Linked DNA regions of Nothobranchius furzeri. The protein of the gene in region 2 purifies or fractionates together with the protein of the main gene of each other region. This does not show direct contact. Links are inferred from orthologs where the notes say so. Each region holds a gene or a part of one and is shown on either strand. Other genes may lie near its edges. The genes, in order: lin37, mybl2b and foxm1.

What was found.
Region 1: the proteins of mybl2b (region 2) and lin37 purify together in Homo sapiens (affinity purification with mass spectrometry; 6 studies listed by BioGRID and IntAct, counting the BioPlex papers as one, with this or other methods). This does not show direct contact. The link is inferred for Nothobranchius furzeri from reciprocal best matches to the Homo sapiens genes MYBL2 and LIN37.
Region 3: the proteins of mybl2b (region 2) and foxm1 purify together in Homo sapiens (affinity purification with western blotting; 3 studies listed by BioGRID and IntAct, with this or other methods). This does not show direct contact. The link is inferred for Nothobranchius furzeri from reciprocal best matches to the Homo sapiens genes MYBL2 and FOXM1.

Annotation. Positions count from the first base shown.
Region 1 is NC_091745.1:37,814,253-37,818,616, forward strand, and holds the start of lin37 (protein lin-37 homolog), read left to right. Parts: upstream 1-1,536; 5' UTR 1,537-2,189; coding exon 2,190-2,223; intron 2,224-2,358; coding exon of another isoform or gene 2,359-2,362; coding exon 2,363-2,438; intron 2,439-2,508; coding exon 2,509-2,559; intron 2,560-2,677; coding exon 2,678-2,707; intron 2,708-3,157; coding exon 3,158-3,243; intron 3,244-3,322; coding exon 3,323-3,483; intron 3,484-3,999; coding exon 4,000-4,131; intron 4,132-4,251; coding exon 4,252-4,322; intron 4,323-4,364. Other genes in the region: proser3 (proline and serine-rich protein 3), read right to left, coding at 237-280, 416-546, 627-847, 970-1,066, 1,137-1,147.
Region 2 is NC_091743.1:41,540,851-41,543,895, forward strand, and holds part of mybl2b (v-myb avian myeloblastosis viral oncogene homolog-like 2b), read left to right. Parts: intron 1-307; coding exon 308-450; intron 451-993; coding exon 994-1,093; intron 1,094-1,185; coding exon 1,186-1,296; intron 1,297-3,045. UniProt on the Homo sapiens protein: Transcription factor involved in the regulation of cell survival, proliferation, and differentiation. Transactivates the expression of the CLU gene.
Region 3 is NC_091741.1:41,405,817-41,410,085, reverse strand, and holds the start of foxm1 (forkhead box protein M1), read left to right. Parts: upstream 1-1,405; 5' UTR 1,406-1,520; coding exon 1,521-1,534; intron 1,535-1,615; coding exon 1,616-2,097; intron 2,098-2,174; coding exon 2,175-2,317; intron 2,318-4,198; coding exon 4,199-4,269. Other genes in the region: rhno1 (RAD9, HUS1, RAD1-interacting nuclear orphan protein 1), read right to left, coding at 312-473. UniProt on the Homo sapiens protein: Transcription factor regulating the expression of cell cycle genes essential for DNA replication and mitosis. Plays a role in the control of cell proliferation. Also plays a role in DNA break repair, participating in the DNA damage checkpoint response.

The DNA.
Region 1 (4,364 bases), on a different chromosome or scaffold from region 2:
AGTAGAAAAACCAAAAGACAGAGGTCCACAAGGTTCTTCCATGGACACAAACTGTCTCCGGCATTCAGATGAAGTTAGCATAAACTAGGACACGCTGTAAACTTATAGCCTACACAATTTTTCTTTTATGATTATTCAAAAACTAAACACATTTATTTATAAAACATTTCACAAACAAGTCACCAACACAGAGTGGAAAGAACACAACAGGTCAAGGAGGATCCCAGTGAACTCACGCTGATGGATCTGTCACCATGATGCGGTCCAGCTGGGCTGCCGTCTTTCAGAGGGAGGACACGTTCGGGCATGGGAAAGGATCCAGCGGAAAGTTTGTCACAGAAATTTTACACAACCCACGAGCTTGTAATATTTACTGTGTCGTGTGACTAAACACAGCAGAAGTTAAAAATAATACCACTGTTTGATGCTTTAGTAGGAGTTGAACTGTGGACTGATGAGTTAAACATCCACCCAAACGGCATCTGCTCTTCTCCAGCCACCTGCTGCCGTTTCTGAGGCTGACTGTGGCCAAAGCGCTCGATGTGTCTGTAACAAAAACACGTCATGGCTTTGTGAGGCCCACAAATTCAATCATCTCTACGGTGAAAAAACACCAGCAGATTTACTTTGCCATCACGGAATCATCCTGAACTCCTGAGGAAACTGTTGATGTCTCTGGTCTGGCAGGCAGATCGCACGCCAGCATTTCAGGAGAGGACCTGTAGTCAGTGGTGGGCCAGATTTCTGTAAAAACATCTCCACCATCGTGACTCTCCTGTAGCTGTTGGCTTCCTCCATTCTGGGAGTGACACTGTTTCCTAGAGCTCTGGCTGGGATGCACAGGACTCTGCAAAGAGCATAATAATAATAATAATAATAATACTAAAATAAAATAAATCACGTCCCAAATGCTGGACTAAAAAACACAAACATGAGTAAAGGTAAGAAATGTTGGCAAAGCTGACATACATCTGTCTTTGGCAGGGATTGCTTGCGGGATGGATGATGAGCTCTTCTCACAGAGGATGCAGGTGTGAAGGGATTCTTCCTTGCAAACACAGATCCACTATAAAAACAACCATTAGAGATAAAACTATTGTTTATGGTGGTATAAAAAGGAGCTTGTTGGATCTTACCTGGATTTCATAACTATTGAAGAACGGAAAATGTTCTCTTCCTTGTTTTAACCCTAGTGTTCTCACTAGGCGTCGTGAGTTACCATGGACTCCAACGCTACAAATCACCTTTAAGTTAGGAAATTAAAACAGCTACACGCAGCCGCATCTACTACAGACTCAGATTTCCTAAGTTTATAAAACTATAAAAAGGGTGACAAAACACAAAAGCGTCACGCTTTTTTGGTGTTTGCCACACCACTCAGCCAATAAAATCCTCGCTAAAATGGCGCACATGTCATTTGTCCAATCACAGTGGTTTGAACAAGCACCAATCAGCTATTCGGGTGTTACATCAAGATGTGTTCCCCGCCGGAAGTGTTTTCTTTCCCTGCGTCACTCATTTTTATATTTAATCTCTGGTCTTTAAAGCAACGTTATTTTAAGAAAATAGCCAGATAATATCTTAGTAATCTATTATGTTATTTTTGTGCATTCCAGCACGGCAAACAAATCATCAGGGCAGGAGGGGAAAAACTCTGTGTTTAGGTGAGACATAAGCTCGCGGTTACGCCACTCATAAAACTGACTCACTAATTCATAAAATAGACATCCCTTGTGTTTTTATTATGTATCTCGGAAAAAAGTACACATTTTACCGGGAGATGGCTAAAACACTACCAAGTGGGAACGGTTTTCAACCAGGGAACACATTTCGGGGTAACACCTGTTACGCGGAAGTTTGTAGAAGCAAGCTGAAGTTACATTAGCAACTATAGCTGAGCTAATACCTTCCACAGTTCGAATAATAAAACCAGTTGTCTGTACTATTTGAAGCAAATTATTGAAAGTTGTTTTGTCTAAATCATTAGGATAAAATAATATTTTTGCCATAGAATTTCTTCACTTTTTCTTTTACGAATAATCAGTTGGTTAAGCGCTGCTATGTAAGTCAGCTAATGGTGCTGTTGGCAAACAGCCGTTGCAGCCAGGATACCAGGACCCTTTGTTAGAGATCAAACAAGAATTAATTTCAACATTAAAAAAGGTTACAAAAGTGCTGAAAAGAAGACAATGCACCACATCAAGATAAAGACTGAACGGCTAGGTGAGATATACCCACAATATAACATTGGTTATAATTTCGTTCGCTATTTGTGCTTGCTTTAAAGATACAATATACATAACATTAGAGCCCAAAAACGAGAGACCTAGCTCTAAATCGATCTGCTTTTTATGTTACCTAGATGCAGAGAACACCGCTGCACGCAGCAAGTTGGATGCTGTGTTAAAGGGTCTTGTAGAGAAGAGCGAAAATGAGAGGTTAGTAAAACACACTTGACCATAGCTATGCTTTCAAATGATTAAATGCTTTTAATTGTACTCTCATCAGAGAACCAAATGAGGGTGATCCAGGAAAATTATCAGTGGACTCCTTGCACAAGTATGGATTAGTTTTTTTGTGATTTTATCTTTTTATTATGAAGAAGGATTCACACTTTATTTTTAAACAGCTGTAACAGTGTTTCAGTGCAATCATGGAATGCTCTTGTTATCTCTAGGGATTTGTCTCCATCTTCTGCTGGAAAGAGGTAATAATCAGTACTATGTTCTGTAAATGCGCAATAAATGTGCAATACCCAGAGATGCACATTTATATGTGTCTTTTATGCTTTTTCTCCTTGAAAACAGTTATGAATTTTCTATTTTATTCTGTTTTTATGCATTTATTTTGTTGCTGAAGGTTATGGTAATAGCCCAATACTCTTGTGTGTTTACCTGTATTATATTTTCCTATGTCTGTGTGTATGTGCTGCCCTAACAAGTAAATTTCCTCACTGTGGGATCAGTAAAGTCTATTCAAATACCTCATACAATTCTAAATACCTCATACACATACTTGATTTTCTTGTTTTTTTTATTGCAGCATAATTTTTTATCTGCACACATCGTTATATGAATTCAGTTATTTAGTACAGAAAATATTTCAGTTTTTTAAGCCTTTTTGCAAGTCCTCATGTTTGTTTTCATTTTATTTTCAGACCTTCAGCAAGATTTCCACAGCATCGAAGGAAGAAACGGAAGGAGATGGATGAGGGCATACCAGAAACCAATCCGCATAAACAAAGTAAACTCAACTCACATTCCATTAAATGACACGGTAGTATTATTTACCCTGATGTGTGTTTCCTTTGCCTTTGTTCTAGATGCTTATGTTATTAAGTTGTTTGATCGCAGTGTTGATTTGGCTCAGTTTAACACCAGCACCCCTTTATATCCAATTTGCCGTGCCTGGATGAGAAACAACCCTTCTGTTCGAGAGCCAACAGCTTCCCCAAACTCCCCACACAGCATGTTGGAGGAAGAAGTAAGGCTGCACATTCCTGTCATCATTATTTAATTGATTTAATTTTGTTTAAAGGAAATGAAAGCAAAACAACCATAAGAGAAAAAGTGTGTATAGTTTACAAAATATTTCTTCTAATTTAATTGTTTAAAATAAGTTTCATTGTACACAATTTGTGTGAAAATAATATTTGTCTCCTACCCCTCTTCACAATTAAATTATTATTATTATTGTAATTGTTGTTTACCAAGTTATGAACTTTATTTAATTGTAAATTTAACTTGTGATTGTCAGTCTGCATGTTTGTGTAATTTCCTTGAAAAGTTAATGGTTTTTAAGTGCATCGAGTTTGAAAAGCAGTGTAATATATTAATGAAACTTACAAACTGTGTGTTTTTTCATTGCCTAAAACAAATTTATGAATTTTGAAATGAGTCGAGATTTTACCAGTAAGTCCCCTAAAGATGGCAGTATTGCACCATCTCTTTAGCCATCATACCTGAGCTCTCTGTTATTTGTGTTCTATCCTTGCCCCAGGTAACAGACATGATAAACGGCAAAGGTCAGAATGTGTACCGACTCCCCCCTCCTGCTCCCAGCCCAGTTAGCCCTTCAGGTGAACCCATCAATCTCAGGATTCAACAAATTGAAAAACCCATCGTTACAAAGGTGCTTGAACGTTACATTTTTTTTCTCTTCGTTTTGTGTGTGTGTGTGTGAGAGAGAGAAATAGAATTGTACAAATCTTCAGATGTATAAAAATGGTGAATAAGGTTACTCTTTTCACAGTCAAGTGATGCTCCTGTGTCAGAATCCCTAATAAGTGACCACTTGGAACGCTGGAAAATGATAAGGCAGAAGTAAGTTCTTAGGAAAAATTTTATTTAATAAAAACTTTTGTT
Region 2 (3,045 bases):
TGGGTTGTTCATATCGGCCCAGTTTTATTTATGGGGCCGATGCTGATGTACAGAAAATGTGTGTGTATTTATTCTACTGCCCAGCTAAAGCCTCACACACATAATTACTGACCTATTAGCATGAAGCTGGTTATTACAAAGATGTCAGAAGTGATGTTTGTCCCAAAGCCGTGACAACTGGTTAATCGTTTTATTGTAAGATTGGAGTTTGCTGCCTTTATAAATAAAATGGCCGTTTAATCTCCTCTTTTACTAAACGTCGTTTTTTAGAGGCACAAAATCTGCCGACCTGACTTGTTGTTTTCAGTTCCTGAACATGTGGACCAAGCAGGACACGCACGACCTGGAGAACCCGTCCCTCACGTCCACCCCCGTGTGCAGCCAGAAGGTCGTCGTCACCACGCCGCTGCAGCGGGACAAAACGCCGCTCACGCAGAAGGAAAAATCCATGTGAGTGAAAAAGAAGAGAGGACAGATGTTTTCTGTAGCGCGGCGCCTCACCAGATAAAAAATCGTCTCAATTAAAATAAAAAAGATTTTTAAAAGTGATTGAAAAATCACAAAAATGAGAAAAATAAAAAATGTAAGGAAAGAAATGAGGAAATGAATAAGAGCTAATCAGTGGAAACCGGGAAAGGTGGAACGGGTGGAACAAGGAGAGGGTGATGAAGGTCCGACCAAAGCCTGAACAGGTGAGTCTTCAGCTGCTTTTTAAAGGAGACCGCTGAGTCCACTGATCTCAGGCTCAGGGGGAGAGAGTTCCAGAGTCTGGGGGCCACAGCAGCAAATGATCTGTCACCTTTGACCTTTAGCCTGGTGCTGCACAACCAGTAGGCTTTGATCACTGGACCTCAGGGACCTGCTGGAGGTGTAGGGACTGAGAAGATCACCAATGTATGATGGTGCTTGTCCATGTGAGGCCCTGCTGCTTTGCTGTGGAACAGATCAGTGTTTTTATTTTCACTCATGACCTTATTTTTGTGTGTATTTTAGGTTTGTTACTCCGAACCACAAGTCTGGGATCTGCACAACGCCACGAACCCCAACACCGTTCAAGAATGCCATGGAGAAGTACGGCGCTCTGCATCCTCTGGTGAGTCTCGCCCCGGTCTCCTCACAGCCGCTGGTAGGTGTTTGGTTTACTTCTGTGTTTGATTTCTGCTATTTCCTGTTTGGTCTCCTCAGCCCCAGACTCCAAACCTTGAAAACGATATTAACGAAGTCATCCTCAGAGATGCGGGGATAAATGTGGTCGTCATGCGTTCCACTCCACCGGAGCAACGGCGCAAAACAGCGGTAACGAGAGCTTTTTTCCAGTCAGGCGTGAAGCAGCGTGCTTTATAAGAGAGGAAGTAAAACCGAACAATTACAGGCAGCAAGGAGTTAGGAGCACCAAGAAAGCTGTAGCTCCTCCCACTCTAACGGGAAAGAGCGGATTCAGAGAGGTAGTAAAATCATGGAAGAAACGACTTTATGATGTTTTATTTGTGTGACATTCTGTATTGGGTTTGTTTACCTCAATACACCTGCAAACATTACATCCATTTAAAAAAAAGGCCACCTCCTGGCGTCACGTGGTCAGAGAGACGTAACCCGATTGACTAAAAGCCACGCGGCTCAACGAGGTGACGAGTGCTTTGGTCACTAGGAGGTCAGGCCACCTGCCATGCTGAATATCAGCTGCTGGATTTGTACGGGTGAAGTTGACGCTGGTGTATTTTAATTAAAACATTCAAATACATAATTTCACAGAGTAATCAGCATGTCGTGAATTCAGCATCTAAAACACGTCGTTTTCTGTTGAGACGGGTTTGTTCCATATGAAATGATGTCGGTAATCTGAAAAATAAAATGCTGCCAAATAAAACTAATCTGTAATTAAAATATCCAGAATAAAATATTATCGTCAACGAAATTAGATTCCTGATCTAACAACTGAAAAGTAGAAGATAAAAAATAACACGATCTCTGTACGTATACAGTAGGAGCAAATGTACTAATGGTTCTGTACCTGTGCTGGAAATGTTCCTGATTCTAAGAAAACCTCGGTCCATGCCTTTGACATAAATATACGTGGACATCTCCTTTCCATAGGCTCCAATATCACGCTTTTGTGCCAAAATGGGAGGTGGCCACCACCGCCATTTTGACCGTGTCACAGGTTCCGTCAAGCCCAGACAATTCCACAAAAGGAAAGAGAGGTGGAGCTGAGGGTGGGGCTGTAAGGCTGGGATCAACTGACGACACCCGGTCGAACTAGCTACAAGCTAACCTGAAGCTAATGCGGAGGTGGGAGCTAAGCTAACGGAGGTAGCAACCTAGCTACAACCGGAGTTAACTGTGCACAACACCAGAGCTTCTGAGTCAGAGATACGCCGGACTGACCGCTGGGTAAAACCGGGTGGAACACAGAGGTCTCCCAAAAGCTGCCGAAAGCCGGCAGTCCGCGCAGCAGACCGAGATGCGCCGAGCTGCAGGGAGGGGAGAACGGGTGGAAAACATCGGTCTCCCGAGAGCTCCACAAGCCGATAGTGGGAACCCAGCTCCACCAACATGTTATATTTCAACCCATTTTCTAAAGTGTAGCATTATGTTAAATGCACTGGGTTTTACCCTATTACATTTAAATTTCATGGTTAAACAGTACGTGTTAAAATCTAAGCTCAGCTCGGCAGTGACCTAAAATACATAAATATAATTTTACTTACCGAAAAAAATGAAGTGCAGGCTCCTTGGATGCTCTATTAGTGCAATTAATGCCACAGCAAGTCATTTTGTCCAACAATTGCACAAAAAATATCCAAAAAAGAATACACACACACAGAGACTCAAAATCCTGGAACAGTTTCCAGGCCAGACCGAGGCTCTACTGAGGCCTTTCCACGGAGCTAGCTCTGTGGTCACGTGGGTCGGATGCTCATTAATTATACAGAATTTTAGGCTTTTAATACACTTAAACAGAAGAGTGAGAAAAAAATTCACCCCCCTCAGAGTTGTCATGAGTGTAAACTAGATAATTTAAACCAAAAACATGTTTTGGTACCA
Region 3 (4,269 bases), on a different chromosome or scaffold from region 2:
TGTTCACAATATTCATGAGTGAAGAAAAAAAGAATAAATGATAAAATATATAGATATAAATAAATCCGAGTTTGAAAGTAAACAAATTGCATGTAGGTAATTGTATCAAGTGATAGGTGCATGTCTGCCTTCAGGTTAATGCTGCTTATAAAAACTGAATTAAAGGTAAAAGTGATCATTTTGTAAATTCCAATGTTTGTCTTTGGTACTTTATCCCTCCGACAGAACCCTAACCCTAACCCCATCACCAAAGAAAGTATAACCATGCACCTTTAAACGTCTTCTAAATAAATAAACACAAAAATACTTACCCATGAATCAAGAGTTGAGCTGTGCTTCTGTGTCTCGTTGAAAAAATCCCTGGGATTAATTGCTGCTCTTACTTCAGGTAAATGTCGACGTCTGGCGCCACCCAGAGGCCGCTCCACGAATGTCAGGGCAGGCTTGTCTGTCTTTGAGACTTTGCGGGGCATTGATTTAAATATTTCCTGAACATCTGATGACAAGTAAGGAATAGATTAGTAAAACCCCTCAATTAATGTCTGCCTTTGTCAGACTATCTAACAGAATACGGATGTTTACGCTTAACATGCATCAAATTGTATACATCCAAATGCTTTCTCTCTATCTCGGGTTAATACTTACTGCATTGTTGTTCTTTGGACACTATATTCAAATCGTCCCACAAAGTTAAAAACAAACAACAGTTAGTCAATTCATGAAATCATCTTTTGTTTCTACTTCCCGGGTTTCTTCTTTGTCGTCTTTTCTCCGACTTGCGCAGCCGCATGTGGGTGATTTAGCGCCCCCTAGAGTACTTCTTGTCCGTTGAGCTTCTTGTTCCCATTGGCCCGTTTTTACCACGTGATCAACATGAAGGGGGACACCACCCACAGCGCCAAAATTCAAAAACGGTTTCTGACTTGACACGTAAACAACCTGTAATAAAGGCTTGGTAGCTGTCACATATCTTTTATCAAAAATGTAATACGAGCGAAGTGCTCCACAACATCAGCGTTGGAGTTCAAACCAGCGGAGCCGTCTGAAACAAGAAATATGAAGGTCTGGCTTTATTTAGTAGCTTTGCTGTTAGCAATCAGAAGCTACCACCAGCAGCAGTGGTAGCATCGGGCTTTTAAGCTGAAAACCCATTTTCTTAGATGAGACATGGTGTTGTTAGGGCCCAATTTAAGCTTCAAACGTGTCATTGTGTCATAACCTGAAATACTATTTACAACGTATACAACGGTTAGCCATGTCATTGTGAATAAACGTTAAATTATACTTCCGGTGTGAATTTAACGCCTGAATTCTCCAGTTGCCAAGGAATAAAACCTCGGATAACCACTGAGCCGTAACACGGATACGTTAGTCGGAACTTTTTGTCTTAATAGCGTAACCCACAGCGTGTTTTAATATAACATGAATTAATCGTGTGCTTTAATATTAATAGATACGTAGACACGTAAAATAACAACTTAACTTTCCACCGGTGATTTGCGTTACAACGGTTTTCTGATATGATGCAAGCAAGGTAAAGAAAAAAAAATGTGTTCCTAAAATATTCTTTATTTTTTATTTTTATATATATATATTTTTTTTATTTTTCCCACAGCTTACCAGTGAATTTGGATGGACGTTTCAATGATTTGACCATGAGAAGGAGTCCGAGGAGACCCCTTATCCTGAAAAGAAGAAAACTACCTTTTCAGCAAAATGAAGCAGCTGACGCACGCTCTCCATCTGCTGCTTCAAGCTCCAAAGAATCCTCAAAACCAGCTGCCAGTCAGTGCCTCCTAGATGGTGTCCACATCATGGGTCATTCATCCATGTCTGACACTCAGGTGGTTTTCATCCCCAAAGACGTGGATCTTCAGGTTGTTATTGATGCCATTACTGCAAAAAGTAAAGAGTGTGGTGACCAGGGTCCAAGCAAGTTCATCCTTCTGAGTGAGAGTGGAAGCCGGGACAATGGATCTTCTTGTCAAGAATTTGCCAGAGAAGAATCTGTTCCTACGAGGAGTCCAGTTGGACAATCTGTAAGCTCGGAAGCCACATTCAACACTGAAGCTGATCATCAATCTGGCTGTAAATACGGTATGACAGTTTATGCTGTCTCTGATATCTCACCATCCCATATCATTGTCCATTTAAGCACTCTTCTCTTTCATCAGTGATTAAAGAAGCGAGTTGCAGCCCGTTAGACGACAGCCTCACAAACATCCAGTGGCTGGGCAAGATGGACTCCTGTGCCCTAGAGCCGGATTCTGAAGAACAGACGACAGACAAATCGATTCCAACATCCCAGAATTTACAGGTCAGTCTTGCTTCTTTTTGTGTGATGCAGATGGCCTACTGAGTTCTGACAGGACTCCCGAGTGTCCCCTAAAACCACAGACGAACTACTGACTGATTTACAGGCTTATTTGGTTGCTACAATTAGAATGGAGGTTAAATATGATTTTTTTAATTAGATAGTTGGATTTGAAATTAAATATTTTAGTATTTCTCAGTAAAAATTCATCACTCTGGGCTACAGTTGGAGCAGCTTCAGACCCATCTCTAAACTTCCGTTCATCTCCAAGATCTTGGAAAAGGTTGTGGCTAAACAACTCACAGCTGCTCTTGATGAACATAACATCTATGATAGCTTCCAGTCAGGTTTTCGTAGAGCTCATTCTACTGAAACAGCACTTCTTAGGGTCTCTAATGACCTTCTGACTCACAGCGATGCAGGGGACTGTTCTGTTCTGGTCCTGCTGGACCTGACTGCAGCCTTTGACACTGTTGACCATCACCTGCTACTGGAGAGGCTGAGAGACTGGGTAGGCCTATCAGGAACTGCTCTGGAGTGGTTCTCTTATCTCTCTGAGCGCTCCTTTTCTGTGGTCGTCTCCAAGTTTAGGTCCTCCACCACCTCCCTTACCCATGGTGTCCCACAAGGTTCTGTGCTGGGGCCTCTGCTCTTCCTCCTCTATCTGCTTCCTCTTCAGCACATCCTGAGCTCCTTCAAAGGAATCTCCTACCATCTTTATGCAGATGACATCCAACTGTACATCTCCTTTAAGCCCCATGAGATGTCTAAGCTGCAGCTGTTACACACCTGCTTAGACTCTATCAAACCTGGATGGCTGGGAGCTTTCTACAGCTGAATGAAGATAAGACTGAGATCCTCATCTGTGCCCCAGACAAGCTGGTTCCCAAAGTCAGAGACTCTCTTGGTCAGCTTACTTCTCACACCAAACCTTCCGTCAGGAATCTTGGCGTGACCTTTGACCCAGCTCTCACCCTGGATTCTCATGTCAGTTCTCTTGTTCGCTCTTCCTTCTTCCATCTCAGGAACATTGCTAAGCTGAGTCCCATTCTGTCCCGCTCTGAACTTGAGACTGTGCTCCACACCTTCATCTCCTCACGCTTAGACTACTGTAACTCTCTTTTCACGTGTCTGAGCAGAACCTCCCTGAACCGTCTACAGGTGGTTCAGAACGCCTGTGCTCGGCTTCTGACCAAGTCCTCCAAACACACCCACATCACCCCGCTTCTCCTCCAGCTTCACTGGCTGCCAGTCAACTTCAGGGTTCATTTCAAGATCCTGGTTCTGGTCTATAGGGCCTTACATGGACAAGCACCATCTTACATTGGTGATCTTCTTAGTCCCTACACCCCCAGCAGGTCCCTGAGGTCCAGTGATCAAAGCCTACTGGTTGTGCAGCACCAGGCTAAAGGTCAAAGGTGACAGATCATCTGCTGCTGTGGCCCCCAGACTCTGGACCTCTCTCCCCCTGAGCCTGAGATCAGTGGACTCAGGGGTCTCCTTTAAAAAGCAGCTGAAGACTCACCTGTTCAAGCTGGCTTTTGTATGACCTTCTTCACCTCTCTCTCTTTATTCTGCTCTCCTCACCTATTCCACCTTCCTCAGGATCCACTGATTTCCCTCTTTCCTGTTCACTCTCTCTCTTTCTTAACATTTTTTTAATCACAATTGTCTATTTTTGCTCATTTTAATATATTTTTAAACATCTTCTAAATGCTTTTTTCTATTTTTACATTTTTTGTTTTTGTGAAGCGCCTCGTGATTTTTATCTTGAGAGGCGCTGTAGAAATGATACTTTCTTCTTCTTCAGTTGGATAAAATATCCTCTATGATTGTTGCACATATAGATGATTCTCTTTGTGTTTTTTCTGTGACTATTTGCAGCCACATGGTCCATACGCCAGTGCAGAAGCTGTCCAGGGTACCGAAGCAGAGAGACCTCCATACTCCTACAT